Linked DNA regions of Coturnix japonica. The protein of the gene in region 4 interacts with the protein of the main gene of each other region in a pairwise test. Links are inferred from orthologs where the notes say so. Each region holds a gene or a part of one and is shown on either strand. Other genes may lie near its edges. The genes, in order: KALRN, CCSER1, CCDC88A, NDEL1, MIS18A, DIXDC1 and MRC2.

Region 1 (3,648 bases), on a different chromosome or scaffold from region 4:
TCTGTCTCCACCACCTCTCCTTTCCTCCCTCTGCACAACGCAGGCTCGCAGGTCTGGCAGCAGTCAGTGGCCTCCACGCTGGACACTTACCTTGTCATTGAAGACCTGTCCCCAGGCTGCCAGTATCAGTTCCGTGTGAGTGCCAGCAACCCCTGGGGGATCAGCTTGCCCAGTGACCCATCTGAATTTGTCAGGCTTCCAGAGTACGGTGAGTGGCCTCCCAGTTGCACACAGATGTGCCCTGGGACTGTCCCTGTGGTCCATTTTCAGCCCCAGAAAATTACAAGGCCAAATTTAAAGTCAACTTAAAGCCACAGCTTCCCCTGGGAAGTTCTGGTTTTTGGTGGTCAAACACAATGGAGAATCACATCACATCATAGAATCACAGAATGGTTGGGTTGGAGGGGACCTTAAAGACCACTGGTCAGTCCCCAACCCCCCCCCAAATGGCCTTGAGCACCTCCAGGGCTCTCTGAGCAACCTATTAACATATCTTCACATAACTTTTAAATGTGCAGTTTATGGTACAAAGCAGTCTGCCGTGTCTTTACACTTTCTTCAATGTGCTTTTCTTCTCCCAAAGACTCTGCTGCTGATGGTGCCACAGTTTCGTGGAAGGAAAACTTTGATCTTGCTTACGCGGAGCTGCATGAGATTGGGAGGTAATATTAACCCTGCTTATCACTGCAGCGAAATACCACAACAATGGCTTGAGGCTTGTTCTTTAACGGGGAATTTAGGTCGCTTTTTGTAGTAAGCTTGAAAATTGCTGCTCCTTTTAGAAAGAACACACTAAGCACTGATTGAAATACAGACTGGTTAAAATGCTGACTACATCTTGTCTCCCAAAACCAGTTGTGATTTGAGCATTACATCTGGAACATGGATGACTGAACTCCAGCCTCTGAATGACAGGGCAGCCAGATCCAGCAGTGCCTTCTGGTATCTGCTTTGACATCCCTGGCTCAATGTGAGCTTTTGAAGTCATGTTGGCTTGCTGGTGCTGGGTGTGCTTAACCTTGGAGGCTGTTTGCAGAAGTACTTGGGCATGTGACAGACTAAAAGCACATTCCAATGGGCTATGCTGAGTGGGGCAGTCAGTGAGCAAGAGCTGCATGGTGCTGATAAGGGACATGCAAACAGTGCGGGTTAAGGCAGCCACATCTACACCCAGAGATTGGGGATAAGTGCTTCTGGGGCTGCAAGACCGGCAAAGAATAGTGATATCTTAAAAATGGGCCAAGTGCAGCTTGTGGCTTTGTTAAGTACTCTTGCTTCCAGGAATGGTACCAAGCACCAGTCTGGATGATATTCCTAAGTGCTTTGTGTCAGCTGCTTGCTCCCTATTTTTCACTGTATGCCTGAATCAGCAAGAGAAAATGATTGCTTAGCCATTGCTTAACAAGGCTTTTCTCTTAGTTGTCTTAAGTCTGGGTTCATTATTCAAACAACTGGAGAGAAGAGATCCATGGTTAGGAATAAAAAGTCAGAACCTGTTAAAAAGGCAGCAAATTGAACCCAAGGGGTGTTGTTAGAGGACATCAGCAGGGCTGTACAAAGTGCTCTGTTTGCTCTCCGTGTTTACTAATCCCCAAGGAATCCAAACACCCAGGGTGAGAGACAGCAATTCAGTGTTGGAAAAGGTTATGAACAACGAGATAAGTCTGATTCCTTGTGAAATGTTAATGCACTGAATCAAATAACACTTTGAAAACCAGTCTGCTATCGCACTGAAAAAACGGGCATGATTTATTCATGGATCCCATTCATTATTCTGCTTTTATTTCTTTCCAGGGGACGATTCTCCATTGTAAAGAAATGTGTTCACAAAGCTACCCGGAAAGACGTTGCTGTAAAGTTCATCAGTAAAAAAATGAAGAAGAAGGAGCAAGCAGCCCACGAGGCAGCTCTGTTACAGCACTTACAGCATCCTCAGTACATCACTATCCACGATACTTACGAGTCTCCTACTTCTTACATCCTAGTTCTGGAGCTGTAAGTACATGGAGCTACAATTCATTCAGCTGGGTGTGAATCACAGCACTATTAAAACCAAGGATAAAATTCACCCATGGTTCATCAGGGCAAAGACTTTGTCATCTGTTTCTTATTGACTTTGATGTCAAAATGTAGGAGCCATTTTATGCTGAATTTCCACTGCCTTTTGTTTACAGCAGATAAGATTCCAGGGGTACAAATAAAACTTTCTATTCTAGAAGCTCAGTAATTGTATCGGCACTTAGTTTGTCACACAGCATCAGGTTTATTTGGGCAGTTTAGTCTGCTCCCTATATCTGAGCAAATGCACTTCAGCTGGATTGGAGCCTACATTGTTCTAATAGTTCTTGATGGAAAAAAAGCTGCATTGGGACTATGTTTGTCCCTATAAGGAGAAATAGCAACTCAAATCCAAACTGCTTCTTTGTGACAGTATATCCAATCAAACATATTTGGGCTCTTTGCTTGTTTATTTATACTGATAAATAAGACTAGGTGGAAAACTCTTATTGAGTTAGGTTTCCCACAGAACACACCACCTGCAGCTGAAATATCAGTGTTTTTTTCCCTGCATTATTCAACCATCTCTATAAATAAATAGATGAACCCAGATAAATAAGTGGATCTGTTTTCAAAGGTATCTCCTCTGTCCATTGAATCTGTCCTTAAGCGACTTAGTGTACTTTGAAATTGTCAAAGTTTGTCACTAGATTTATTAATGGCCGGGGATGACAACTGAGGACTAATCAAGGATCAATCATTCTACCTCGTGATATCATTAAATCCTAATCAAATCTCTCATTTTGATTTCCTCCACTTTTAGGTCACAAAGTTTCCATTGCAGCTTTGTTATCAAATATTAGCTGTTCCTGCAGGTGTCATGTGGTCTTTTCAGGTGTGGGGTTTGATTTCTTTGTAGGATGGATGATGGTCGTCTCCTAGATTATCTTATGAACCATGATGAACTCATGGAGGAAAAAGTAGCTTTCTACATAAGAGACACAATGGAAGCCTTGCAGTATCTTCACAATTGCCGAGTGGCTCATCTAGATATAAAGGTAAGAAAAGAAGAGAATGATGCTATTACTTGGTGTCCTGGTACATAGAGTTCCCAGCTGCACACACAGCAAGGAGGTGAAGTCTGTGCCCCAAGAGGTGATGCTGAATGGACAAGCACCACCCTCCAGATCTGCTGACCAGAGAAAGGACTCAGTAACCTGCAGGGTCTATTTTCTCCTTCAGAGATGCACTATTTCCTTAACTCACTGCTTTGTTCTCAAGGGCTTTCTGGAAGAGGGATTTAATGAGAGAGAAGGGTGAGAGTCAGTAGCTTTTGAGTGAAGGGGAGTTATAAGATACATCCCGAGGGCATGGCTTGGGCTCACAACATGGTAAGTGTGGGGAGAAGGAGAGGGTGGGAGAGCAGGAGGTGGTAAAGGCTGAGAGGGGAAAGCAGCAAACTGCGTGTGCTGCAGAGCCTGAGAGGTGGGAAATGCACCTAGGGAGAGGTTCAGAAGAATATCTGCAGTCTGCAATATTGTTCTCAGTGAGATTAGCACAGCTCGTACCTCCTTTTGTTAGTATATGTGGCAGGAGGCACTGCGATGTCCTGGATTTGGCATTGTGTTGCCATACCCACCAACACTCCAT
Region 2 (4,417 bases), on a different chromosome or scaffold from region 4:
ATCAGTTGCAAATGTGTCTGGAAGTGCTGCTTAATCACGTGGTTCACCTTTTGGGGCAGCAGCAGGCAGTAGAGGTAATACAAACGTGTTGGAGAGATGGGGTTAACTATTAGGAGGCTGTGAGTATCTCCTGCTGAATGCAAGGAAAATGAAGGATAAGAGATGGAGTTGAGAAATCATGCAAGGCTCTTGGGAGAACCCTGATTCAGCAAAACCCAGATTTCTCTGCCTTTGGCTTCAAGGCTGTCTAAGCTTCATAAAATGGCTAAGCAGGTATTTCATTTCAATTATAGCAAGTCTTAGAATTCACTGAGACGACTCGTGCATAGAGCTGCCTGCATGCTTGGCTGGATTGTGAACACTCAGTAACACTATTCAGCTACAATGCAGTCTTGTTTGAAATTCCCAAATTATGACTATCAGAATTGTGAATGATGATCACCTACTCGTGAAGTTGTGTCTCATGAGATTTTTGACATTTTTAAATGGGGGTGATGGGTTATGAAAAAACCTGTTTCTGTTCATGTAGCATCACAGTGTGCAGCATACCCCTGCTGTTCCCCTGTGAGCACAGAACACTTGATCTGCTTTAGGTTTATTATCTGGCCCAGGAATAAATGGAAACACCTCTAGGTTTTGTTGTTGCATATCACAGAACAGAGTAGTAAATATGTTTGACTGATTGTCACTTACATATAAAAATGAATGGTTGCTTCTGATGATGCTGTATAAACTATCAAGACAAACATATTATGAAAACTCAATTATATTTCTTAAAGATTAAAATAATAAAATCATTAAGGTTGGGAAAGGCCTTTAAGACTGCCTAGCCCAACCATCAACTCAACACCACCATGTCCACTCAGCTGTGTCCCTCAGGGCCACATTTTCATGCTTTCTGTACAACTCCATCCCCCTGGGCAGCCCATTCCAGTGCCCAACCACTCTTTCTGAGAAGAAGCTTTTCCTAATACCCAGCCTGAACCTCTCCTGGCCCAACTTGAGGCCATTACCTCTTAACCTATCAATAACAGTTCCTCTGTTTTACCACTTCTTTCTGAATGGAACAGGGGCACGAAATGCTGCGTAACTGCTGCCTCGACTCCAGTTTTCCAGGTGCACGATTGCTGTGTTGATGCAGATGAGACCTTCCCTGTCATATGGCTGCTACTTTCTCATTGCTCTTTCCTCGTTCCATTAATCAAGCACCGTGATGCTCCTAGGTGGTGATAGGCAAGCTGCACTGAGAAATAATCCCAACACATGCATCACAGGAGAGGATGAGGAAGTGAAATCAGATTGCCGTGCGGCAGAAAATAAAATCAAACCCTCGAGCAGATGGTGAGCGTCAGTACACCGGGGCAGGGCCGAACTGAGCCTGAAGGGCTCGTGCTTTCCCCTCGAGGCGCATTCCCCTCCGTGCTTCAAGCTGCGGGGGGCACGCAGGGACGCGGCGACCACACGCCCACGCCACGCGCGGGGACAGCCGCCACCCAGCGCCCGCGCACCGCCCCGCGCCGACACACACGCGGAAGCACCGCCCCGGCCCGCCCCCGCCCGCTCGCTCTCTGCCCACACGCCGCCGCTCCGCACACACAGCCCGCAGCCGCAGCGTGACTGCCTGACCCCGGCCGGATTATTCATCCCGCGCCGAGAGGAGACGCAGGAAGCCGCCCGGTGAACCGCGACGCGCAGGCGGGGAGGTGGCGGCGGCCGCGGCGCCGCAGCGGGGTCTCCGGTCCCCGCCGGCTGCCGGAGGAGCCCGGCCAGGTATAGCGCGTCCCCGGCCCTGCCCCGGGCGGTACCGCAGGCCGCGGGGTGCCGTGGGGAGCCGTGCGAGGCTCGGGAGGCGGGTGGGCGTGGGTGCTCCGCGGTGCCAGGTGCGGAGGTGATGCGGAGGATGTCGCCCCGGGGCGGCCCAACCGCTCCGCCGTGCCGAGCCGTGCCGGGTCCGCCGTCTTTCCCCGCTGCCGGGGCGGCTCCCGGCCGGAGGGAGGATCGGCGCTGCCGCAGCCCCCCGCGCCGAGCCCCGGGTGCGCTGGGGATTAGCGAGGGCGGCGGAGCGGGGGGAGGCAGCGGTGCGAACCGCTTTGTGACGGGGCGGGCAGGGCTCGGTGCCCGCAGGTGTCCCCGGGAGGGGCCGGCGGCGTGACTGCGGGTCAGTGGGGACGGCGGGTCCTTTTTCCTCTCGTTCGTTTCGGGCGTTGCGTTTTGCTGTTCGTTTATTGTTATTTACGAAGGGATGTAAGATGAACCCGTGGAGATGGCAGGAAGAGAAGTGCGTTCTGAAACGTGTGCGGCATTGGCGCGGGGCTGGGCTGGGGGCAGGAGCCGAAGGCGCTGCCAGTGTTTTCCAAAAGCACATGGCACGCTCAGAAGGTGGAGCAGATGGTGGTGGTGCTGCCTATTATAGACCGGGTTTGTGGAAATCCCGAGCTTTCTCTGGCTGATTTCTACGCGTTTTCTCCTGGCTGAAGGAGGTGACCTTTCACGTTTCTGTAAGGCAAAGAAAGTTGCGGCAAGTCTTCCTTCTGAAGAGCAAGGCAGGTCTGTTTTTCCACGGAGAAGAGAACCCTCAGAACTGTGCGTCTCCCTCTTGCCTTGGAGACTGATGACAGTAAACGTCTCAGTGTAGAGACTGTAGCGTGCTTTATTTTCTGATTGCACACCTTTATAGCTGAATGCAACTAGAAGGGAGGCTCAACATCTCTTTTTATCCTTTTCTGTGCCAGATGTGTTTTTTCTCTCTGGTATGTATTGCACTTGAAGTGTTAAACTCTCTGGGGGCATGGAGGTGGGGATGTGAGGCGAGGTCTACGAGTTACTTCAAACACTTTTCTGTGCTCACACTTAAGAAGGAGAGAAGGGAACATGTTGTAAAAGCAGCTGATGAATATATAAAAGTGAAATATTAATGAACTGGAAAAGCTGAGATAGTAAGACATTGCTCTTAATCATTTAGGAGAGCTCTTGTATAGCTTCTCGATCTATGAGTCTGTAGTACAAATGCAGTTAATATAAAGGACAACAGGATTTGTATTTGCCTAGCTAGAAGTAATAATAATGCAAAACCCTTTTTTGCATTGGTGATTGTCTCTTGGGGCTTGTTTTACCTTCAGTTTCTGAGACTACTGTAGAACTGTATTATTGCAGAAATAGTAGGAAAAAAAAATGCCTATTTCAAGAATGCTGTCTTAGAGATGGAATGCAAAAGGCTGACTCAGTCCTGAAATTACTCAGAGGATTAGTCTTAGAAAGCCCTCTTGGGGACATGAGGTTGACTTTTCAGTCTAAGGTTGTTGGTCTTCTCTGGTATCTTAAGCAGAGAACAACTCAGGGGAAGGTAATGTGGCTGTCCAGGCTATGTCAAGGTGTGTTGTGTCAACAAGGGATATTTTCTGCGACTTGGAGTTCATTTACTCACTGAAATCAGGAGTGCTATGGTCTCTGCAGTGTTTTGGCCTGTCATCTTAACATGCATTTCCAGCTTTTCAGTTGCTTTGTATTTACATGAGTGTATAGACCTGCTGGGGAACATAGCAGGCAAACAGATCCTCTGCTCTTGTTAAGACTGCCTGGACCTTGGTACTTCAGTACTTGGAAACAGAAAGCAATAGGACAAGCTTTAATTTATGCTGTGTTTGCCTTGTAGTTCAGCTGTCATTTGTTTTCTTAAAAGACTGCCAGGACATTCTTGGTGGTTGTCTTGTGGTTGTGCCATTTATTTATTTGTTTGTTTTTCATTCTTAGAAAGAAGTAGATAGAAATAGAGATATTTTACCAAGCCCCACTGGGAAAGGTTGCAGACAAGATCTGAGCTTAGTTTTCTTACTAATGGCAGCAGATCCATTTTCTGTTAGATGCTGAATTCTTGCAGCAATTTCTCCGGTTGCTTATTTGGAGGATTTAGTTGAGTGGTCTGTCAGTCCACAGAATGCAGTCCTTGGCTGTGCACCTTGTGGGACTTTTTGGAATAGCTTGTGCACATCACCTACTACCTTTGGGAGAGCTTGGTGCAGGCCTGAGCGGAGGGATGGATGTAGAGTCATACAAGATGACCTGAGACAATAGGTAGGTGCATACCATGTGTGGGTCATGTGGAGAGAAAATGTTTGGTACTTAAGTCTGTGAGTCACTTAAAGTGCTGCAAAGGTGAGATCTTGTATCTGTGTGTCTCAGTGTGTGGTTGCATGAAAGCACAGTTGTGCTGCGTAAACTACACACGTACAGTTAACATTTCTCCCGATTCAAACCTAATGCTTCGAATAATATTTGTAGTAGGTGGCTGGACAACGAGCAACTTTACATTTGGGAGTGGTTTGGGTTGCTAGATGAATTGTTTTCTAAATTACAAAAGAGATGTCTTCTTCATCTGGCCAAATTCCTGCTCTTCCATGAAGATTCATGGAAAGTTGTC
Region 3 (3,648 bases), on a different chromosome or scaffold from region 4:
TGGGGAGCACTGTGCGCTAATTAGATTTCAGTGTGGTAGATGGAAAGTGCATCCGGGGTGCAACAGCAGAAGACAGAAAGATGACTCAAGGCATTCACAAAATACATTATTTGTTCACACACCTAAGGATTCCTTCACTCATTGATTTCTGCCCACTTTTCATCACTTTTCGGCATCTATCTGTGCTGAACTGCAGACTTTATATTAAATTTGTCATCAAGTAGTTTTGATTTTTAGAGCTCCAAAACATACTCAATCCATTAAGAAGCGTATTTTATTTATCAGAGGGGAAAAAAAAGCCCCAAACCATGTATTTGATAAGTAACACCTTGCTTTTTCTTTTAGGTATGATTATTTATTTATTTTTAAATTCCAGCTATAAAAATAGAATAACTTAGTAGTCTCTGTGGACACACCATCTACTTCCTTGACCTAATTTAGAATTAAAAAAGAAATAATAATAAATTAAATTATATATATATATATTAAAAGGCAGATTAAGAGAACCTACTCTACGCCTGATTATAAAGCCACAAGTTTAAATAGGAGAAACACAAGGTAATAAAAGCAACTCCTAGAAAGTTTGTTCTCCATCATCACTAAATATCATTTGATTGTGCTTAGTGCATATTATTTGCACATTCCTTTCTCTTCCATATGTACACCAGAATCAAAACATGACTTACATTGTTGCCATTAGCTTAAAAAAAAAAAACAACTCAGAATTGAATTTATTTTTAAAAAGAAAATACGAAAATATTACCTGAAGCTTTGCATTTTGGGTCTGTAGAGTTGTGTTTTGCTCCTGTAGACAGACAGTCTGCCTCTGAAGTGCAAGAATCTGAGCCTGAAGATTGTTATTCTGTGTCTCCAGCTGCTTTAATTGTGTTTTCAGTGCTTGCTTCTCTGCTTGGAGCGTAGCATTCTTTGAGCAACAACACAAAAGAAACTTTGAGTTCACAGGTTTTTATGGAACTTTAGAAACAGCACTTCCTCTAAAGCAAATAAAGCAGCGTGATTTACACTACTATGATCCTTTGTACTTTGGCAGCAAGGAAGAGATTTACAACATTCACAGATATTTACAGAGTGGAATAAAACCGTATCACCTTATATTACAAAAGTAACATACAATGATATCGCTACAGTTGAAGATTGAAATAATGGCTGTTATTTTACCAATGGAGAAACAGTAAGGAACTCTCAATGACGTGTATATAAAGATTATATGAGTGATTTGTGGGATTCAAAAGGGAAAAATTCAGATATACATTTTTTTTCCCCTTTTAAATGCCTGTCAAGTGCTTTATAGCATCACAAGACCCAGCTGTGCTAAGAAATACAACACAGATTCTGTAAATTAGGTGATAAATAGCACATTTCTTTAAGAATATCCTTATTCAAATTACTAGAACAGCTCAAGACAAACATTTCAAATGAGAACAGCAGAAAAAGCACATCTTACATTCCTTTCCACTTCAATTAATCTATCTTTAACTTTCAGTAACTCTCTAGTAGTTTCCTGGGTTTCTTTCTCCCACTTATTGACTGACTGATTTTCTTCTCCCTTTCTTGGAGGAGGATTCTGAACCATTCTTTCCTCTTCTTGTCTTTGTTTGAGAGCTTCATAGTTCTTTTTCACCTGAAATTATTTAGGACAATTTGCATTCAGTTTACAGTTTTCCATTTCCTATATCATATATTATTATACAACCGTACCACTTTCCAGAGTACAAAAAATGCTCTATATCTCTGTATTTCTGTGTACATTTGATGAGATACTGCAAAAATGATGTATGGATACTGATAGCTCAACCATAATAAGCCGACAAATATGACTACAAACCAAAAGGAGACTTTATTTTAGAGCTTTCAGTTGTATCTCTCAGCTTTCATAATGAAGTCCAACAACCAAAGAGACTATTTCTTTTTTTGATTAGCCATTCAGGCTCAAAGTAGTTCAGGAAAAGTAACTTAACAAGAATTAACTTTTTTTGGCATCCCAAGTCAAACAGACCTCAGAATATTTATCTAACTGACATATTCAATGATCTTCAACTTCTTTTCATGTGATTTCAATTCTGGACCTGTATTATTGTAGCTTTAAAAAGCAATTACACCTTTGCCCTGCTTTAGGCTACCCCAAGGTTACTCATCTTTTTTGCTGTCTTAAACAAAAATACCAAGCACAGAGTAAGAAACAACAACAGTAGCTGGAATATGATTCATTTAACCTTACGCAAAAGAAGACATTCTCCTTACTGTTTTAAGTTCCTGACGGAGCTGCTGGTTTAAATTTGTTGATTCTTCTAAACGAGCCTCCAAAGCAGCAATTTTTTCTTCTTTTATCTCAAGAGATTTCTTAAGAGTGGATTCCAATTTTGACTCCAAAAGTTTGTACCTATTCAAAAGCATGCCACCAAAAAAAACCATATATATGCTTTTATTTCAACAATTACTTCAGGTTCTTTAAATGTTCACGACATTCTGAAGCAGCAGGCTCAAGGGCAACAGATACACATAAGCAATACTCAGCCACAACAGTAGGGCACTGACTACTGGGAGAATTAGTGTGCGGGTGTGCTGACAGCACCCTCCTTTCTGGCTGCACTCCAGCAAATCCAGCAGGGACTGCAACTAAATTCAAATGTGAAGTATTTGGAGAGCAAGATTTTCATCAATTCCCATTTCCTGCCTGCTCCAATAGAGGAGGCATTAGGGATAAGAACGGTTCTTTGCAGGTGCATACTCATTTGATGCATGAGTGTGTGAATTGCTCACTCAGCCCAGCTGCTGCTATTTTAAGACTGTTACCACTCCTGACATGTGAAGAGGCCTTTGGGGTTTTCTTTTTTTGGTATATTTATAATATTGTAGGGCACCTAAAGAAACAATCACATATTTTGGAGAGAAGTGACCAGATTTAAGATATATTGCTTTATAACAGTATTTCCTGAAACTGTCAGTGCAGGATATTCTAATACATTATTAGACCTTTTAGAAAATAGGATTTTAGAAGGCTACACTCAAATCAGTTTTCAGCTGCTGTCACTGTACATGTGTTCAGAATTTGGAAGACATCCCGCTTTTGCCAGCTGTAGGATAAAATAGAAGCAGCCATAAACTCTTTCCTTCTTAATCTCAACTGCTGAAAAATAACTCAGATTGAAGAGAATTGCAAGAGACTCCTCAATTGACAACAGCATTAGATCTAATCAGGAACTGGAGCAGAAGACCAATGGGCAGAGAATTAGTAAGTAGAAAGCTGTCCAAAAACATTATATAGTAGGATGAGAATTCTAGATTCTAAGGTACAAGAAACAGGCAGTTTATGAAAAAGTAGAACTGATAGCATTTCATCTTTGCGAGCTGAAGCATGCATTCAGCTACAAATAAGTTCTATTACTAGAAAGTTATACACTTACATAGAAAAAGAAGGAAAAAGACTATTAACAGAGACTCAATCCCTGGCATCCCTTTGAATACTGAACAAGAAATGGTACAAATTTCTGTTCTCACTGACACGGGTATTTCAGATTCAAGGTCTGAATCTACAAATGTTTACCTAAAGACAGCTGTCATTTGGGAGGTAAGACAAAGTAAAGAGGGAAAGAATTCAATGCTAATTTATCAAATGGGATCAGCTTA
Region 4 (3,648 bases):
CACAATATCTGGCTAGTGTGCGATCTTACAGATTATTAAACTGGAAGGGCAGTGTTGGATCCTAAGATCACAAGATCAGGTCATTAACGTGTTTCCTTAACCTCCCATCTGAATGCAGTTAGCAGGCATTCGTGACTGGCTGCATTTTTCTGCAACACACTTTCCATGGAACTCAAACTACAAGTAGGGAGGAATGCTGAGGCCAGGTCACCTGCCTCACTTTCTGGGTGTACACAGCTCTCTGGGCCAGTAGAATGTGGCTCTCTTTCCATCTGGCAGTGATGGTATTTAAGATAGAGTCTTTTGCTGCTGCAGAGAGCCAGCAACAGTGAATCACTGATTATTGCCAAGTATTCTCTTCTATATAAATGAACAGAATGCTGGAGAAGTCTGTCACTAATCCAATGTGTGTTTTATCTTGCACACTCAGACCTGCGGCAGGAGCTGGCAGTACGGGAAAGGCAGCAGGAAGTCACCCGCAAGTCTGCGCCGAGCTCTCCAACTCTAGACTGTGAAAAGATGGATTCAGCTGTCCAGGCTTCTCTCTCCTTGCCAGCTACACCTGTTGGAAAAGGATCTGAAAATAGTTTTCCTTCCCCAAAAGGTACAACTCCTGCAAACTGTGCCTGGTTGGTTGGGAGTACGTTCTGCTTGCCCAAAAATTACTAACAAGGGCCTGGTCTGAATCTGACTTGAAGTAAATACAGGGTACATGTGGATCCCTACATAGCATGTGCTGGAATACTGGAGCAGTGTCAGACCTGTTTAATGAGTATAATTAGTTAATACTATGGAAAAGAAAGAGTGAAGCTTAGCTACTGCTTTGTAGGGGGTGAGGATTGCACTCCGCAGTAGAGGACTGCAGTAGAATTTATTTGGGGTTGCAGAGAAATGCTGTGACTAATATTTCACTGGTGGGTAAATAGTGGGTAGCAGTGCTGACAGTCTGGGCTGTCTTTGTTACCATGTGCTTTCGGGGGTGCTGTTCTCTCAGGAAGCTGTGGGATATTAGCCTAGTCCTCTTCCCATCTGGAAGGCTCAGGTCAATCGCAAGGATTAAAACATTTATTTATTTATTTTAAATTAAAGTAGATTCCAGAGAAAGCTCTGGTTGGATTAGATAGATTGCAGGCAGTAGCTATGCAGATGGAGGGTGCATGAACTCTGCCTGGGTACCTAATGGGGAGGAGGGTATTGGGCAGGAATTAAGCTTTTTCTTCTCTCTATGGCCAGTGATTGTGCAGCCTGTGTTACTGTTGGTGCAAAGAGTCTGCAGTAAGATTTTAGATTTATCTCCATGTAAAAGTGATTAAAAATATACATTTAACAGTGGAGGAGTGACGTGTATAACAAAGTGTGTTTGTTTGCAGCTATACCAAATGGATTTGGTACAAGCCCTCTTACTCCTTCAGCTAGAATATCTGCACTCAACATCGTGGGAGATCTCTTACGGAAAGTGGGGGTGAGTGCTCTGTACTGAACTATCCCCAGTTCTGAACACACAGTGGTGTGTTCATCCACATATGGGATGAAAAGGCCTTGGCTTGTGCTGAATTAGTTTGTAAGGTGTCTCTCTTATTTAAGAGAGTCCACATTTGGTGTTTGGGATGTGATAACGCTTGTTTTTTAATAATCTTGATTGATGGAGCAGGTTGCTACGGTTCTGATGCCAACTTGTAGAGATAAAATCCTTATTTAGTGTAAAGACTTTTTTTGGTGCACGTTAGCAGATGCTTGTTCATATTTCACATGAAAGCAGGACTCAGAGCTGAGCCTCAGCCTTAGTACTCACTGCACAGTTGTGTTATATCATGGAAGGTGAGCTGATATCAGACCGCTGGAGTCTCTGAGGAGGTCTGCAGAGGTTACTGAGAACTTAAATGAGTTGTTTACATAAAGTAAAACAGCCCTTTGGTAAGAAAGTGAAAAAAGAAATCAGGGGAAAGCCAAGTGTTCCCATCTGTAGTTGATTGGGAAGTGAAATGTGTGAGCCTCTAAAGGGATTACAACTGTGAGCAGGGAAGAAGCGGTTTCGACATCTGTTGCAGTGTTGCTTAGCATGGCAAGCTTTCCAGCTGAATGAAGACATGAGTTATGAGAAGCTTGTTTACTTGCCTCCTTGGGTAGTGTTTGGAAGCATGGGCAGCCTTGGTGTCTAGCCTCCAGGGCTGGCTTTCCTCTATCCTGTGTGGTTAGCACTGAGAACAGAAATAGCTGACGTGAATATGGTTGTTTTAGCCAAATTTGACATTAAAAATCAGATCATTGCTTGTATTTGGAGCTGGTGAGCTCATCGAGGCTGGGTTGAAAGGGCAGCAGGACGGCTCAGGGTTACAGAGTGGCATGTTTAAAATGGGATCATTGTGAGTAAGAGTCTGTAGGGGATTTAGGGAGCTTAATGACATCCCATGTGATTGCTCTGTGAGGACAGGAAATGCCAAATAAGCATGCTTCTTTCCCAGCCTATTCTTAAACACACGCAGCCAGTAATGCAAAATTCCAGCTCATGCATTTATTTAGTAATAATTATAGGATGTGCAGGATTTCTCTGGGTTGCCTTACCTGTAGGATGCCTTGTCTTGTGCTTTGGGCTCCCTTTCTCTCCAAGATGTTCCCTTCAGCTTTCTGGCTGGCATGTGAGACAGCGAGCTACATGGCACAGCTCAAACCACAGGAGAGAATTGGGGTTTTGGTGTCCACCCTGCTAGGAGTCAGTGGATGAGGCAAGTCTCCTACCTTGTATAGGAGAAAAAGAACTGGTCGGGCTTGCTGGATGTAGTAGAAACGAAGTAGAAACCTTGGAGACAGGCTTAGCTGTCTTTGTTTCCCTCTTATGCTGTGTCTGTAGCACCTCTTCTAAAGCTTAGCGGGGTGGATCAGCAGAAGTTACTGAGCATCAGCATCTTATTACGTGGTTCTCATTTGAGAAAACAACAGCTTTGTTCCCATTTAGCTCAGTTTTTGCCAAAGATGATCGCAATGTGGGGTTCTGATCATAGTGATCTCTGGTCATGCTGAAGCTTGAACTGGAGCAGCAAAATATTTTCTCTGAAAGGAAATAAAATCCCTCTTTTCCCTCCTTCCACCTCTTTCCCTTTCACAGGCCTTAGAATCCAAATTAGCTGCTTGCAGGAATTTTGCAAAGGACCAGGCATCACGGAAATCCTACATTTCAGGGAATGCTAACAGCAGCATGATGAACAGCAATGGCACCAAGTACCCTCATCCAGGGCATACTTCTTTCTTTGACAAAGGGTAAGTAGGTATGTGTTTGTACACTGAGGGTGGTGGTGGGGGTGGTGTTTGGTGTTTTAGGATGCTGTGTGAAGCAGAAGTTTTCCTTGGCTTGCTTTTAGCCCACCACAGCTTTGTATCCAGTAAGACAAATAATCTGTGGAGCCAGGTTCTCAAGGGGACAGAGAAGCAGCATTCCACTGCGAGCTTCTGTAAAGCAAAGAGGAAAACAAGTGTTTGACCTCTCAGCTGGTGGGATGTCATTGCCTGTGCTGCCCCTCTGCTGCCTCAGCTCTTGGTGGCTGCATAAACCTTCTGGTGCAGTGATTCATGCCCTTCAGAAGGTTCTCATGCAGACAGTGGTGGGGTTGCCATAGTTGTTGGTGCATTTGTGTGCGGGGAGTGCCTGATCTG
Region 5 (4,135 bases), on a different chromosome or scaffold from region 4:
CTCAGATGAGTTTGTTCTGTTGGCCATGTCAGTAGTGCATTTTAAATCAGCTTCAACCAAGTACTTTTTTTCATTGTGCTTGAGCGCCCTCAGAAAGAGATTGCTTAACTGATGCCTATGTAAATCACTCTGGAGTCCTGTAGCTCAAGGACTGCCTTGGTACTAACTAATGTTGAGCAAAAATGAATATTAATGCCTGACAGATAAATAGTAGCAGCCTTTAAGCGTAACCCTTGCTTCCTGGTGGGCAGTTACATTATTCCTCAGCATATCAGAGCTGAGATGGATGCCAAGTAAGCTAAGAATGGGATGGACAAGTGCCAGATGTGTCACAAACCCTTCTCTCTGAGAGACAGCTGCAATGAAGTGTTCTCTGGAGCTACTGGAAACAGCCAGCTGGGCTGAAGGAAATCTCTTTCTATTCACATAAAGGAGGGGGCAAGTACCTGACAAAATGCATCATAGACAGAGGATGCAACAAAGCTGATGAAAAGTCTGGAGCATAAAATCATAACAGGGAGTAGCTGAAGGAGCTGGGATTGTTCAGTCTGGAGAACAGGATGTCAGGGGAGACCTCACAGCTCTCTACAACTATCTGAAGAGAAGCTGTGACAAGGTGGGAGACAGCCTCTTCTCCCAGGCAATGGTGATGAGAAGAAATGGCCTCAAGTTGCACCAGGGGAGGTTCAGGTTGGGTGTTAGGAAGGATTTCTTGTCAGCAAGAGCAGTGCTGCAGTGGCACAGGCTGCCCAGGGAGGTGGTGCAGTCACCGTCCCTGGAGGTGTTCAAGAGCCGTGTGGATGTGGCACTGAGGGACGTGGGCAGTGGGCATGGGGGCCACAACGTAGGTAGAGCCAGCTGAAGGCTTGAGGTGTTGGGCCGTGGCAGCATAGCAAGTGGTACCTAAACGTGCTTAACTGAGCTGAGCAGCAAGGACAGCAGGCCCTCAGCTGGCTTTTGGCTGCATCCCTAAAGCCTTCAGTGCGTGTGGTGGCTGGGGAAGCCAGGGCCGCATCCCATAGCGCACAACGCACCAGTTTGGCTAAAAACAACTTTGAAACCAACCAAAGCCACTTTCTCTCTGCCTTCTCAGTGCTACGTCACCCAAACACCTCCTAACACACTCCAGCAGGGGTTATGAAGGCACAGCACTGAGCTAGACCAGCGCTGACACACAACCCCACCTCCTACGTCTACGCTAGTAACGTAACCACGCTGTGGGCAGGGACATGTACTAATCCCCGCCCCTGCTACGCTAGTTGCGTATGTACGCTGTGGGGCGTAGCCACGCACCGAACCCCGCCTCATGGACGCGACGTATTCGGGCTGGTTCCGGTTCCGTCGTGGGCAGTTTGAAGGTGATGGCGGGCTTGTTGTATCCGCTGTCAGGTGGGGCGGTTGCGCTGGATTCGTCTCTGCCTCTGCTCGAGTCGACCATCCCTCGGGAGGCGCTGCCGATGGAGCGACCGCGGGCTAACGGGAAAGGGGAGGAAGAGGAAAACGACGAGAACCTGCCCATGGTGTTCCTGTGCGGCGGCTGCAAGCGGCCTGTGGGAGATACGCTGAGTTGGGTGGCCAACGATGAGGACGCGACGTGTATTCTGCTGCGCAGTGAGTGCTGCTCCCATCTGCCCTCTCCTGCATGACGGCTTTTGGGGGCCCTTGGTCAGTGTTGGCTCTGTGCAGGTGCCTCCAGCAACATCTCAGTGGACAAGGAGCAGAAGCTGTCCAAAAGGCCTGGAGAGTGTGGATGGTGAGCGCTCTTCAAACCACAGTCGATAAAATACATGTGTATGTACTTTTAATAGGCGAAGGGAGGAGTGATTTGCTCTCTTTGTTTTTTTTTAAAGCATGGTTGAAACGTTTTCCTGCTCTGGCTGCTCGAGGGCACTTGGCAGCATCTACAGATGCACCCCAAAGCATCTCGACTACAAGAGGGATTTGTTTTGTTTCAACGTTGGCTCAATTGAAAGGTAAAGACAGAATCTGCATTGCTGTCGGGTTAACCTCACCTTCCAGACACCATATCAAGGGATGCTGCTGCTAACAGTCTGAGCAAGTTCCCTATGGTAGTTAGGTTTTGAGTATCTCTGGAGGAGACTCTACAGCCCCTCTATGCTGTTCATTCTGGTAGTCTGCCACTCTCATGGTAAGAAGCTTTTTCTCATGTTTGTATGGAGCATCCTGTCTTCCAGTTTGTGCATCTTGCCCTCCTGATAGGGCCAGGCTCTTTTCAGTGGTGCCCAACTGCTTGGCTCTGCCCTTTAGATATTTATAAGCTTTAATAAGATCGGTTCCCTCAGAATTCTCTTCTCTAGGCTGAATAGTCTCAGGATCTCAGCCCTTCTGGTCTTAAACTGTTCTTTGATGTTTGAGGATGTTGTTAAGTCTCCACATTAGAGTTCTGTCCGAAGTTTATTTAAAAATCTCAATCTTCAGAGCCATCTTAAAGGTGGAAGATTTTAAGTATCCAGACTAGAGATCTTTTATCCAAGTGTTGTTATAGTACTAGTGATAAGCTACTGTTACTTCCATGTGGGCTAGTTTTACTGTTTCTACTTCTATGTGAAGTTCCAGCCTGTTCTGCTGAACATACATGGGTGTTTTCCTTCCTACTCTGAACAGTCTTTTCTTCTTTACACAGCTAAATACTTTGGTTTTTGATGACAGTAAAAGTCTCTGGAAGACTATGACAGGGCTACAGAGCAGCATTCTCTTGGAGTAGTGATGATGTCTAGTTCTCCCATCTAGTGCTACACTAATCTTAATATCTGAATGACATCTTGGTTGTTTAGAGCTCAAAGCTGTTGAAGTTTTACCGTACAGCTCATTTGCAAGATTGCTAAAAATAGGGTTGTGTTATTGTTGTTGCCAAAATAGTGCTTTGACTGTGCTGGTGCATTAATTGCGATCTTATCAAGAGTGGCGGATGAATCATACAAGTGTTCTTTTGCCTTCAGAATGAAAAGTGCATCATCTAAACTGTAGCATATCAGTTACATTCTAGGATCCTCAGAAAAGCAGGCTGTTACTGATGAGGAACCTTTAACTCTCGAAAGTCGAGTTGCCTTGGAAGAAGCACTAAAAAGGGTAACGCTTAATCTTGCATTGTTTTGATGACATCTATACTTGTTCTTTATATTGTACACCTGTTTCTAACCAGGTCTTTCCCCATTTACTTCACAGGCAAACACCATACTAAATGCTCTGGAGGCAAGGCTGGCTACTGTTGAATCAAGAATCGATTCTCTTCACAGTAATGCTTGAAAGAAAATCCTGCGTGTAAAATAACTGCTGGAGATTGATGTGTGTGAAACTGGGATCTGTGGGAATATTTTAAAAGCTGCTCGAAGATCTGAAAGATGTGGGCAGTAGGACAATGCCAGCTACTGAGTCTTTGTCACAGATGAGGAGTTCCCCTTTTGTCTTGAGAGAATACCCTGGGAAGAAAAAGACTTCTAAAAAACATTTCAGTCAATTTGTTGTTTATATAGAAATATTTATTTTTTTTTACCTTGGAAAGCAAAGGTCTTATCTCCTGGTTGTCCTGTATTTTAATATCTGCTGAACTGAAGGCTTCAAATGCATCAGCTACTATGGCTTCCTGTGCAGTACTGAGAGTCACGCGTGTAACAGCCTCAAAGAGGAGAAGAAACAAGGCTACTAGCAGCACACCTTTTAATCAAAGTTAGGTGCATATTTGAACAAAGAATTCAGTGCTGCTTAAGAAACTTCTGTCAATATTTCATTGTTAACATGTAGATCTTACTGTTATGGTTTTCTGTATGTATGTCTTCCTAGCATTGTGTTGTTTTTTTTTTAATCCCCAATAAATCAAAGTAAGTGGTAATCGTGTAAGGGAAAAATCTGATTTCTGTTTATTTACATACCATTGCCCGATGCTACTTAATTGCATCACTGCTAATTTTTAAGTAGTCTCCAGAAACTTGGAATGAATTTTCCCACTGTTCTTCCTACTGGTAACTACCATTTCTCTTGAGAGCTCTCTTATTTTTCACTCTCTCTTCTCTCTTTTTTTATCTACCATTTCGTTTTAAAGTAGCACGCAGTTTGGCACATTGCAGTTGTCTTGTAGTCTTTCCTGTTCAGGCAACTCAAACACTGTTATGTTTAT
Region 6 (4,327 bases), on a different chromosome or scaffold from region 4:
ACCCTTTCATTCAAGTTTTCCATGAAATGTCATTGAAATTGCAAGGCACAACCTACTTGTCTGCGCTGTACAAAATGGGGAGAAATATTTACTGTCATCTGGTTAATGGTATTATGAGTCATTTTGAGTCTCAAGAGCAAATTGGATCAAGGTGCTAACCACCAGCATTGCCTCCTTGCAAGATTTTTTGCAAGGATTCATGATATTGTATTGTTTTGCTTAACAGATCGGACATAGCAATTAAAGAAAACAAAAGTCTCAGTTCCTACTGAGTTTGGAAAAAATAAATAGGAATCACAAACAGGAATATATTTAAAACTCATGTCACAAGTGGAAAGTGATTCATTTTTTAATTAGTTGTCTTGGTTGTAGAAGGAAATCAGCTGTTATTTGTCTTTCTGTATTTTACCTGCATCTTCCATATCTGATGGAGAAAACACTAGCATGGTAAATTTATGCAGTGACTTTTTCCTCCAGAGCCTTCAATACTTAGGCAGAAAAACATGTTTGTTTCTACCCTTAGATATGGTTGGCCAGGTATTCAAAACTGTGAAGGCACAGTGTATTGCTGGGCAGGGTTTGATGTGCTGCCCATGAGGACTGGCAGGCAGCCCCTGGCAGGAGGTTCTCCATGGGTTCTTTCTTTTTTCAGGGCACTTCTTCTAATGTGAGATGAAGTTTGGGAGATTGCCTGAAGATATTTAATACGTTTTTGTTTTGTTTTGTTTTGTTTTTTTCTGGAATGAACGTTGTTACTGTTGATTTAGAAACATTGCTGGGGATTGTATTTCATTCTAATTTAAAGTTTTCTTCCTTATTTCTTCTTTCATCTTCATTTGCACAGCAGCTAGAGTGGAGGTCAGCACTGTGCAGATGCTATTTGCTGTGTTGTGGCCTCTTCTGCAGCTTCCTGTCTCTACAGGGTTGCTAAAAATGGTGCCATTTCTTCGGGGCTGTGGAGTTTAAGTTGGCCAGCTCTTACAGTCTTTTGCTTTCTAGCTAAGCAAGACATCCGCTATTTGCTGACTCGCTCCCTGCCCCCACTCCAGACAGGGCTGTCTGTGTTTGGTGGGTTTGAAAACCTCTTTTCCGCAGCAGGTTTCATGTGAGTACAACTGCTGGAAATAGGTTTCAGATGTTTCCCTAACTCAGCGTTTGGGCTGCATCTCGTAAGCTGAGGCGTTTCTATAGGAACCGTATGACATCTCTCCACTGCTCCCCCAGCAGCTCTCTCGTGAGCATGCCCAGTGCAAGCCTTGACTTCGGCTCAACTATCTGCGTGCACTAACGGGCTGCACATATGGGATATGAATGCGGTTCCTGATGAGCTCCAACTCTTTGTCTTTGGGAGGAGGAGGAAGAGGCTGTGCCCAGAGCTGGAGGATCTGCCAAACGCCCTCTGAGACCCTCACCCCTCAGTGGGCTCGAGGAGAATGCTTGCCTGTTTGGCCAGGGGGAATTTACTGGATATTCTGCAGGAGGGCTTCACAGAGGTAAATGCATGCATCCAAATCGCATGTGAGCTTTTCCAGGGTGAGGCATTGTGCTTTTCTGCAGCGTTTCTTAGGAACCGATGTGTCTCCTAGTGTTTTGTGGAGAAGAAAAGGAGAAAAATGAGCAAGATTTTGTGGCCAGGGAGCAGGGAGAGCTGTTTACTAACAGGAGGCAATATGGGGCAGCTCCACGGGGGGGGCTGCAAACCAGTAGTTCTAAAAAGTTTGTGGCTGGATTACAGCTGATGATTTTAACTTGGAATTTTTATTTTCTCTATATAGCTTTTACATTTGTACAAGAAAATAATATAAATTGCGACGAGTTATGGAGAATGGCTTATTTTATGGAATGGATTCCTTTCTTGAGTACGTGAGGTCTGTGTATCTGATGGCTGTTAGAAAGCCTGTAAACACACAGCTTTTGGGAGAAGCTGACAATGAGCATGGTGTCTTTTTGTTTCCCATCGTCTTCAGTAGGTTGAATTTCAGAGGGATCAAAATTCACCTGGCTCTCGAAAATGCTGCTTTTAAAGTGCTCTTTTTTTCATTATTGTAGCATTGGGGGGACAGATAAATCAGACGGAGTGAGAACTAACAAGAAATTCCAGAGCTGGGAATCCTGTGACTGCAGCGGGAAGGCAGGTCACTGTTGAATTCCCAGTTCAGGGAGCACAAGAAGTTGGTTTGGTTGGACTCTGTGTGCACTCAGTACAGAATGCCTGGGTAGCTGCTACCTGGCTGCACTCCTTATGCAGACTGTGCTGGAGCACCATTAGCTGCCAGTAGGCTGAGGAGGAAGGACTATTGTGAGGGCTCACGATGAAAGCAAACAGTGGCTGCTTTGTCCATTCTCACATGGTGGCAGGGATGGTCTCTTGGTGTGTTTTTATTATTTTATGTTTTGTTTGTGTTTCCTGGTTCTTTTCATCCCTTCATGGCCCAGACACCACCTGTCTGTTCCACTCCCATGCTCCATTCTTTGCAGAAAACACACATCCATCCTGGACTTAACACCACCGGTCATTAAGGGGAAAGCAAACTGGGTATGAAGTGTGAGCCTCACAGCTTCATGCCAGCCACAGGTCTCCTCTGATTGCTTTGACTGACCGTATAAATACTCCGTCCCCTCCACCACAGAGTATCTCAGTCTTGCTTTTAGCTAGTAGCGTAGCTAGTAGCTTTAGTTTAAGCTGTGGAGGCTTCCTGTTCTCGAGAGCAGCTGATCTTTCCCTGGTGTAAGCTAATTGTAATCTGTATATTAATAAGAGCAAAGAACAACTTTATGTTCAGTGCTAGTTCCACTCAGAGCATCTGGTTTTACCCTTAGGCTGCTCAGCTGTGGAAAAAAGTCCTTCTACCCCCATAAAAACTGACCTTCACTCTCCTGTCAGACTTCATTTCACACAATGAACTGAGGTATTGCAGGAACTGCTTTGCTAACCCAGGGCCTGCTGTTCTTTTGATAGAGCATCCTTTCTGCCCAGGTGACTCTTGGTGACTAGATACCTTGGAATACAAGGATGTACTTTCCAAATCTGCGCAGAGGAGATTAACATAAACGAGTGTCATACTTCTTAAGCAGTGATTTTCAAGAGGAAAAAAAAAAAGAAAAGCATCTTCTGCTGGCTTTGAGAGAAACATTGTTTTCTTTGCATTAAAGTTTTTATAGTCTGCTTCTACAAAGGCCTCCCACACAAAAGCAAAAGAAACCTCAAACTTGAGGGGCACAGGGTGGCAAATTACAGAGCTTATTTAATTAAGGTAATAATGTCAGAAAGCATAGAAATTACACAAGGCCTTAAAATTACATCCTGATGCAATTAGTCTGTTCTTTGAACTCTGTTGTTGCTGACTTTTGGTTCAGTGCTCTAAACAGACAGGACACTAAACACCTTTCGTACTGAGACCATACTTGTAGCACAAGGCCTATTATTTTTGACCTTGTTAGAGCTGGTGTTTGGGTAACATCCACCAGGCTATGAAGAAAAAAACAGAGTGAAGATTACAAGGCAGAGTCCCTAAATCCAACAATAAGAATAGATTCGTTTTCATCAACTGTGTGTGTGCAGAAAAGATGAATTCTCTTCTAGAACTTGGGAGTCTAACATGACAGCAAGGATGTCAGGCCCTTTAAAAGCACCTACCAACTACAGAATGACTTTGCCAAGAAATATGTGGACAGCTTCAAAAACTGCAATCCCCTAATCTCAGAGGAGGTGAAAATTTAACGTGATACAGTGCCACATAGATGGCACTGAAAGTAAAAGACAGAGTAGCATATCAAAGCACCCTGATCTACCTATATTTACTGTAGTGCAGACTGTGCTGATGCATGGTTGAAAGAAACATGAGCCCTAAGCAGCAGGTGGTGAATTGCGCTGCTTAAATGAGAACAGCATAGAGATCTAGAACTGGCAGATTTGAAGCAGAATTGCTACTTTTCTTACACCTGTGGAAAATGTCAGGTAATGGCTTTTAATTATAATTATCTGTAGGGGCTCACAGAACATGAGATAAAGTGCTGACCCTGAAGACACCATTATCATGGGCTGTGGAGAGAAAGCACGAAGTTGCTCCTCAGAAGAATGCTTTCCAATAGGCGGGAGGTCCAAGACCCTTCTTCAGAGTATGTGCTAGTAAAATGCTGTAAAATGAAATCCTGCACTGCAAAGTGTATTTACTAAAGAACCTGTAATTTGCTAACAAAAGTACCTTTATGTTGTTGAACTCCTTACAACTGCAGATGGCCCTTAGTGCCCAGCTTTCAAATCCTCTTCCTCGGTGAAAATTCTGTTAGGGCTTCCAGAGTCATTGAAATGCAAGAACTCTACAAT
Region 7 (3,648 bases), on a different chromosome or scaffold from region 4:
GCAAGCAGTGGTAACTTTAGAGCTCCAGGAAAATAAAATCTCTTCTGTTTGTACATCATCAATGCAATAGCAGAGCCCAGAGATCTGGGGAAGCACCAGGAATCTCCCATTTCTCCTGCTGCCTCTCCTGATGTCTGACCTGTGAGCATACAGAGCACTGAGGTGGTGCTGCTTTGCAGCCTTCCAAGTCGATGCCCACCCTGGTGCACCCTGATCACCTCCATGTGCTGCCAGTTGGGACCAGAGCTGGGGAATGGTGGGGAAGCTGGGATCCCACCTGCACCCATAACCTGGGGTTGCTCAGCCCCTACTCACCTGTCAGGAAGGGGTCAGTGGTGGCATTGGGCTTCTTCTTGCAGACATAGGGGAGGGCAATGCCGCAGTCACGGTTCTGCCACCCCCCAGAAGACTCAGTGCGGATCACACCACAGTTCTCCTCGCTGGGGTTATCAGGCTGGTCTGGAAATGGATGGAAGGGGGACAGACTGCTGGGGGCTCACAGAGCAGGGCTAGCAGGACACAGCTCTCCTCGCCCCAGGAAGAGATGGATTGATTTTGTGGCACAGTAGGGATTATTTGTTGTGCCTCGATGCATGAGGACCTGGAGCATTGGATGAACTAGAAATGCCAGGTGGCAGTCAGTGGTTGTCCCCAGACCTCCTCCAGGGGTATATTTATCCCATGAGTGCCCTGGGGGTGATGACATCAGGCACAACCAGAGCATCCCCTGCAATGGGTCCTTCTGCCCAGTGAGCTAAGGGTTAGAGATGGAAGTGGGCAAATAATGCCACCAGTGTCCTCCACATCAGGCCATCGAGCTGCCCATCACTGGTATTCAGCAGCACTTGAAACAAGGATGCTCAGATCAGGGCACCTTGGCAGCCCAGGACACTTCTCCTGCCACCTTCCCAGAGCCACATCCTCTGCTCACAGCCCATCCCCTGACCCTGTCCCCCCCACACAGCCCCCAGCTCACCGCTCTCCCAGTTGAGGTATTTGAGTGGCGAGTTGTCAGACCATTGCCAGCCCCCATTGATGTCCAGGTCATTGAGCCCAATCCACAGCGTGGAGCTGTACCCAGTCAACAGCCCTGAGACCAAGGTAGAGAGAGGATCATCATCAGCCCTCCAGCTCCACGCACATCCCCAGCCCATAAACCAAGCCCAACTCAACCAGGACAGAGAGTGCAACCAGTTGACCCTGGTGTCACCAGTTCTGCCTGAGGGCCACCCTGCCTCACCATTGATGTAGGTCTGCTCATGGATCTCGGTGATGCTGAGCAGGTTGGCTCCTTGCTGCTCACAGCTGTTCCAAGCCTCCCGCCAGGACAGTGTAGACTGGAAATTGAACTGGTAACAGCTGTTGGTGAGATGGTCCTTGTCCCAAAAGGTCTCACAGTCATTGCCTATGGGGACAAGCAGTTGGCACCCAGCACATCCCACCCCAGCTCCAAAAATCCCCAAACCAAACCAATATCCCACCAAAGCCGGGCACTGAGCATCCACCAGGATGCCCCTGCATCCCATTGGGATGGGGCAAGCCACCCACACTTACTCTTTATGGGACAGAAGCCCCATCGCTCATCCTTGCCGTAGTCCTGGGTGGTGGCACACCAGAGGTGGCCGTCCTCCCGACCTGTGCTGGTGCACTCATGGAACCATTGGTTGTCGTACTTGAAGGGGATGGTGCAGGGCTTCCCATGTGAGTTGCCCTGGATGGTATAGATCTCTGCAAGAGAAGAGGGTCCCCCCATAAGACTGCAGCAAGGGGGAGCTGAGGTTGAGGTTTCTCCTGGTTTGGGGTCCAGAGGGTGCCTGGATGTCCTGGCTTTGTCTGGGATAGTTGATTTTCTCCTTACAAGCTGTGTTTTGGATTTAGGATGAAAATAATGTTGATAACACAGCCATGTTCTACTTGTTGCTCAACAGCACTTACACTGAGTCAAGGACATTTCAGCTCCTCACACTGCCCTGCCAGGGGGGAGCTGGGAGGGCACAGAACAAGGACAGCTGACCCACATTGGCCACAGGGACATCCCAGACCATACGATGTCATGTGGAATGATAAAACTGGAGGAGCTGGAAGGGGGGGGCTGTGGGAACTGGCTGAGCATCAGCTGGCTGGTGGTGAGCAATTGCCTTGTGCATTGCTTGTTCTGTTTATTCTTTTGGCTACTGTTGATTTTTTTCTTTTTCTTTCCCAATTTTTTCCTCCTTACGAAGCTGCCCTTATCTCAACTCACGACTTCTAACACTTTATTTTTCTCCCCATACCACTGCAGGGTTGGGGCAGAGAGCTGCATGGTGTTTAGCTTGGGACTGCTTTGGCCTAAGGGCTATCACTACTGTTAATGGCTCCTGGGTGTCTGCAAGGCATCAAGGCAATGAGGACAAAGAGAATCACAGAATCATTAAGGTTGGGAAAGATCTCTAAGCCCAACCACCAACCTCCCCTCCCATGCCCACTAAATCAAGTCCCTCAGTACCACTCCAGGGATGGTGACTGTACTGCTGTGCCAATACAGAACCACAGAATTATTAAGAATGGCAAAGAACACAAAGAGAAGGGAAGCCCCATTTGGAATACTGCATCCAGCCCCGAGGCCTGATCCAGTGGGGGGCAACCAGCCCACAGCAAGGGGTGGGACTTGTGGGGTCCTTGGGGTCCCTTCCAACCCAACCATGCTGCGATGCTATGTAGCATTATAGGAAGCAGATGGCGAGCCCGGCAAGTGACAAAGCCTTACCAGAGTAGGGCACAGAGCACAGATCCTCCTCAGTTCCGTATGTCCTCCACTGAGAGCTGCGTGCCTGGTCACCCCTATCCAGCGAGGTGTTGTTCGGTCGGGCTCCGAGGTGCTGTGAGAGCTGCTCCCCAAGACCACGGCAGCTCCAGCGCATGTTGATGGACTCACGATCGCACTCATAGGTGGCCAAAGGGTGCAGGCCAGAGGTGGCATTGCCCCCATGCCATGACACCCCCAGGCACTGCATGGCCCCCACGTTGAAGAGGCGGTTGCGTGAGACCCATTTCCACTGGTGGGCTGGGGAGCTGGCATTGCAGCCCTTGGCAAGCCGCACCAGAGAGTCCTTCGTCTCCAGGCAGCCCTGTGCACCCACGTTGTAGATGAGGAAGACTTTGGAGTCTGGGTTGTGAGAGGAGAAGAAGTGTGGAGAAAGAAAGGGTTAAAGTGCTGCCAGTGGTTGGCCTGGCATCATAGATCATAGAACCAACAAGGCTGGGAAAGACCTCCAAGATCACCCAGACCTGTCACCAGTATTTCCCTCTACACCATGTTCCTCAGTACAACATCTGAACGTCTCCTGAACACCTCCAGGGGCAGCAACTCCACCTCACTGAGCTGGCCAACCCTCCGTTAACATGGCCAACCCTACTTTGAGCTGGCCAACCCTTCCTTATGACAGAATCACCAAGGTTGGAAATGGCTTCCACGATGTCCCAAGTCCAACCATCCACCTACCACCAATATTTCCCACTACACTACATCCCTCAGTACAACATCTGAATGCTTCTTGAACATCCCCAGGGATGGTGTCTCCAACTCCCTGAGCTGGACAGCCCTACTTCAAGGTGGACAACCCTTCCTTGTCATAGAATCACCAAGGTTGGAAAAGACCTCCATGATCA

The links.
Region 1: the proteins of NDEL1 (region 4) and KALRN interact in a two-hybrid assay, tested with the Homo sapiens proteins (2 studies listed by BioGRID and IntAct). The link is inferred for Coturnix japonica from reciprocal best matches to the Homo sapiens genes NDEL1 and KALRN.
Region 2: the proteins of NDEL1 (region 4) and CCSER1 interact in binary tests that used the Homo sapiens proteins (3 or more experiments, as listed by UniProt). The link is inferred for Coturnix japonica from reciprocal best matches to the Homo sapiens genes NDEL1 and CCSER1.
Region 3: the proteins of NDEL1 (region 4) and CCDC88A interact in a two-hybrid assay, tested with the Homo sapiens proteins (2 studies listed by BioGRID and IntAct). The link is inferred for Coturnix japonica from reciprocal best matches to the Homo sapiens genes NDEL1 and CCDC88A.
Region 5: the proteins of NDEL1 (region 4) and MIS18A interact in binary tests that used the Homo sapiens proteins (3 or more experiments, as listed by UniProt). The link is inferred for Coturnix japonica from reciprocal best matches to the Homo sapiens genes NDEL1 and MIS18A.
Region 6: the proteins of NDEL1 (region 4) and DIXDC1 interact in binary tests that used the Homo sapiens proteins (3 or more experiments, as listed by UniProt). The link is inferred for Coturnix japonica from reciprocal best matches to the Homo sapiens genes NDEL1 and DIXDC1.
Region 7: the proteins of NDEL1 (region 4) and MRC2 interact in a two-hybrid assay, tested with the Homo sapiens proteins (2 studies listed by BioGRID and IntAct). The link is inferred for Coturnix japonica from reciprocal best matches to the Homo sapiens genes NDEL1 and MRC2.

Annotation. Positions count from the first base shown.
Region 1 is NC_029522.1:19,180,893-19,184,540, reverse strand, and holds part of KALRN (kalirin), read left to right. Parts: intron 1-43; coding exon 44-208; intron 209-583; coding exon 584-662; intron 663-1,794; coding exon 1,795-1,995; intron 1,996-2,917; coding exon 2,918-3,056; intron 3,057-3,648. UniProt on the Homo sapiens protein: Promotes the exchange of GDP by GTP. Activates specific Rho GTPase family members, thereby inducing various signaling mechanisms that regulate neuronal shape, growth, and plasticity, through their effects on the actin cytoskeleton.
Region 2 is NC_029519.1:31,401,577-31,405,993, forward strand, and holds the start of CCSER1 (serine-rich coiled-coil domain-containing protein 1), read left to right. Parts: upstream 1-1,557; 5' UTR 1,558-1,770; intron 1,771-4,417.
Region 3 is NC_029518.1:7,440,340-7,443,987, reverse strand, and holds part of CCDC88A (girdin), read right to left. Parts: intron 2,402-3,648; coding exon 2,263-2,401; intron 1,643-2,262; coding exon 1,466-1,642; intron 926-1,465; coding exon 764-925; intron 1-763. UniProt on the Homo sapiens protein: Bifunctional modulator of guanine nucleotide-binding proteins (G proteins). Acts as a non-receptor guanine nucleotide exchange factor which binds to and activates guanine nucleotide-binding protein G(i) alpha subunits.
Region 4 is NC_029533.1:1,504,221-1,507,868, forward strand, and holds part of NDEL1 (nuclear distribution protein nudE-like 1), read left to right. Parts: intron 1-430; coding exon 431-604; intron 605-1,370; coding exon 1,371-1,462; intron 1,463-3,103; coding exon 3,104-3,255; coding exon of another isoform or gene 3,256-3,259; exon of another isoform or gene 3,260-3,263; intron 3,264-3,648. UniProt on the Homo sapiens protein: Required for organization of the cellular microtubule array and microtubule anchoring at the centrosome. May regulate microtubule organization at least in part by targeting the microtubule severing protein KATNA1 to the centrosome.
Region 5 is NC_029516.1:94,345,434-94,349,568, reverse strand, and holds MIS18A (protein Mis18-alpha), read left to right. Parts: upstream 1-1,283; 5' UTR 1,284-1,361; coding exon 1,362-1,611; intron 1,612-1,686; coding exon 1,687-1,753; intron 1,754-1,850; coding exon 1,851-1,973; intron 1,974-2,996; coding exon 2,997-3,090; intron 3,091-3,186; coding exon 3,187-3,267; 3' UTR 3,268-3,858; downstream 3,859-4,135. Other genes in the region: MRAP (melanocortin-2 receptor accessory protein), read right to left, coding at 1-27. UniProt on the Homo sapiens protein: Required for recruitment of CENPA to centromeres and normal chromosome segregation during mitosis.
Region 6 is NC_029539.1:5,431,067-5,435,393, reverse strand, and holds the start of DIXDC1 (dixin), read left to right. Parts: upstream 1-1,433; coding exon 1,434-1,493; intron 1,494-4,327. UniProt on the Homo sapiens protein: Positive effector of the Wnt signaling pathway; activates WNT3A signaling via DVL2. Regulates JNK activation by AXIN1 and DVL2.
Region 7 is NC_029542.1:1,913,927-1,917,574, reverse strand, and holds part of MRC2 (C-type mannose receptor 2), read right to left. Parts: intron 3,146-3,648; coding exon 2,747-3,145; intron 1,729-2,746; coding exon 1,555-1,728; intron 1,406-1,554; coding exon 1,241-1,405; intron 1,091-1,240; coding exon 977-1,090; intron 460-976; coding exon 316-459; intron 1-315. UniProt on the Homo sapiens protein: May play a role as endocytotic lectin receptor displaying calcium-dependent lectin activity. Internalizes glycosylated ligands from the extracellular space for release in an endosomal compartment via clathrin-mediated endocytosis.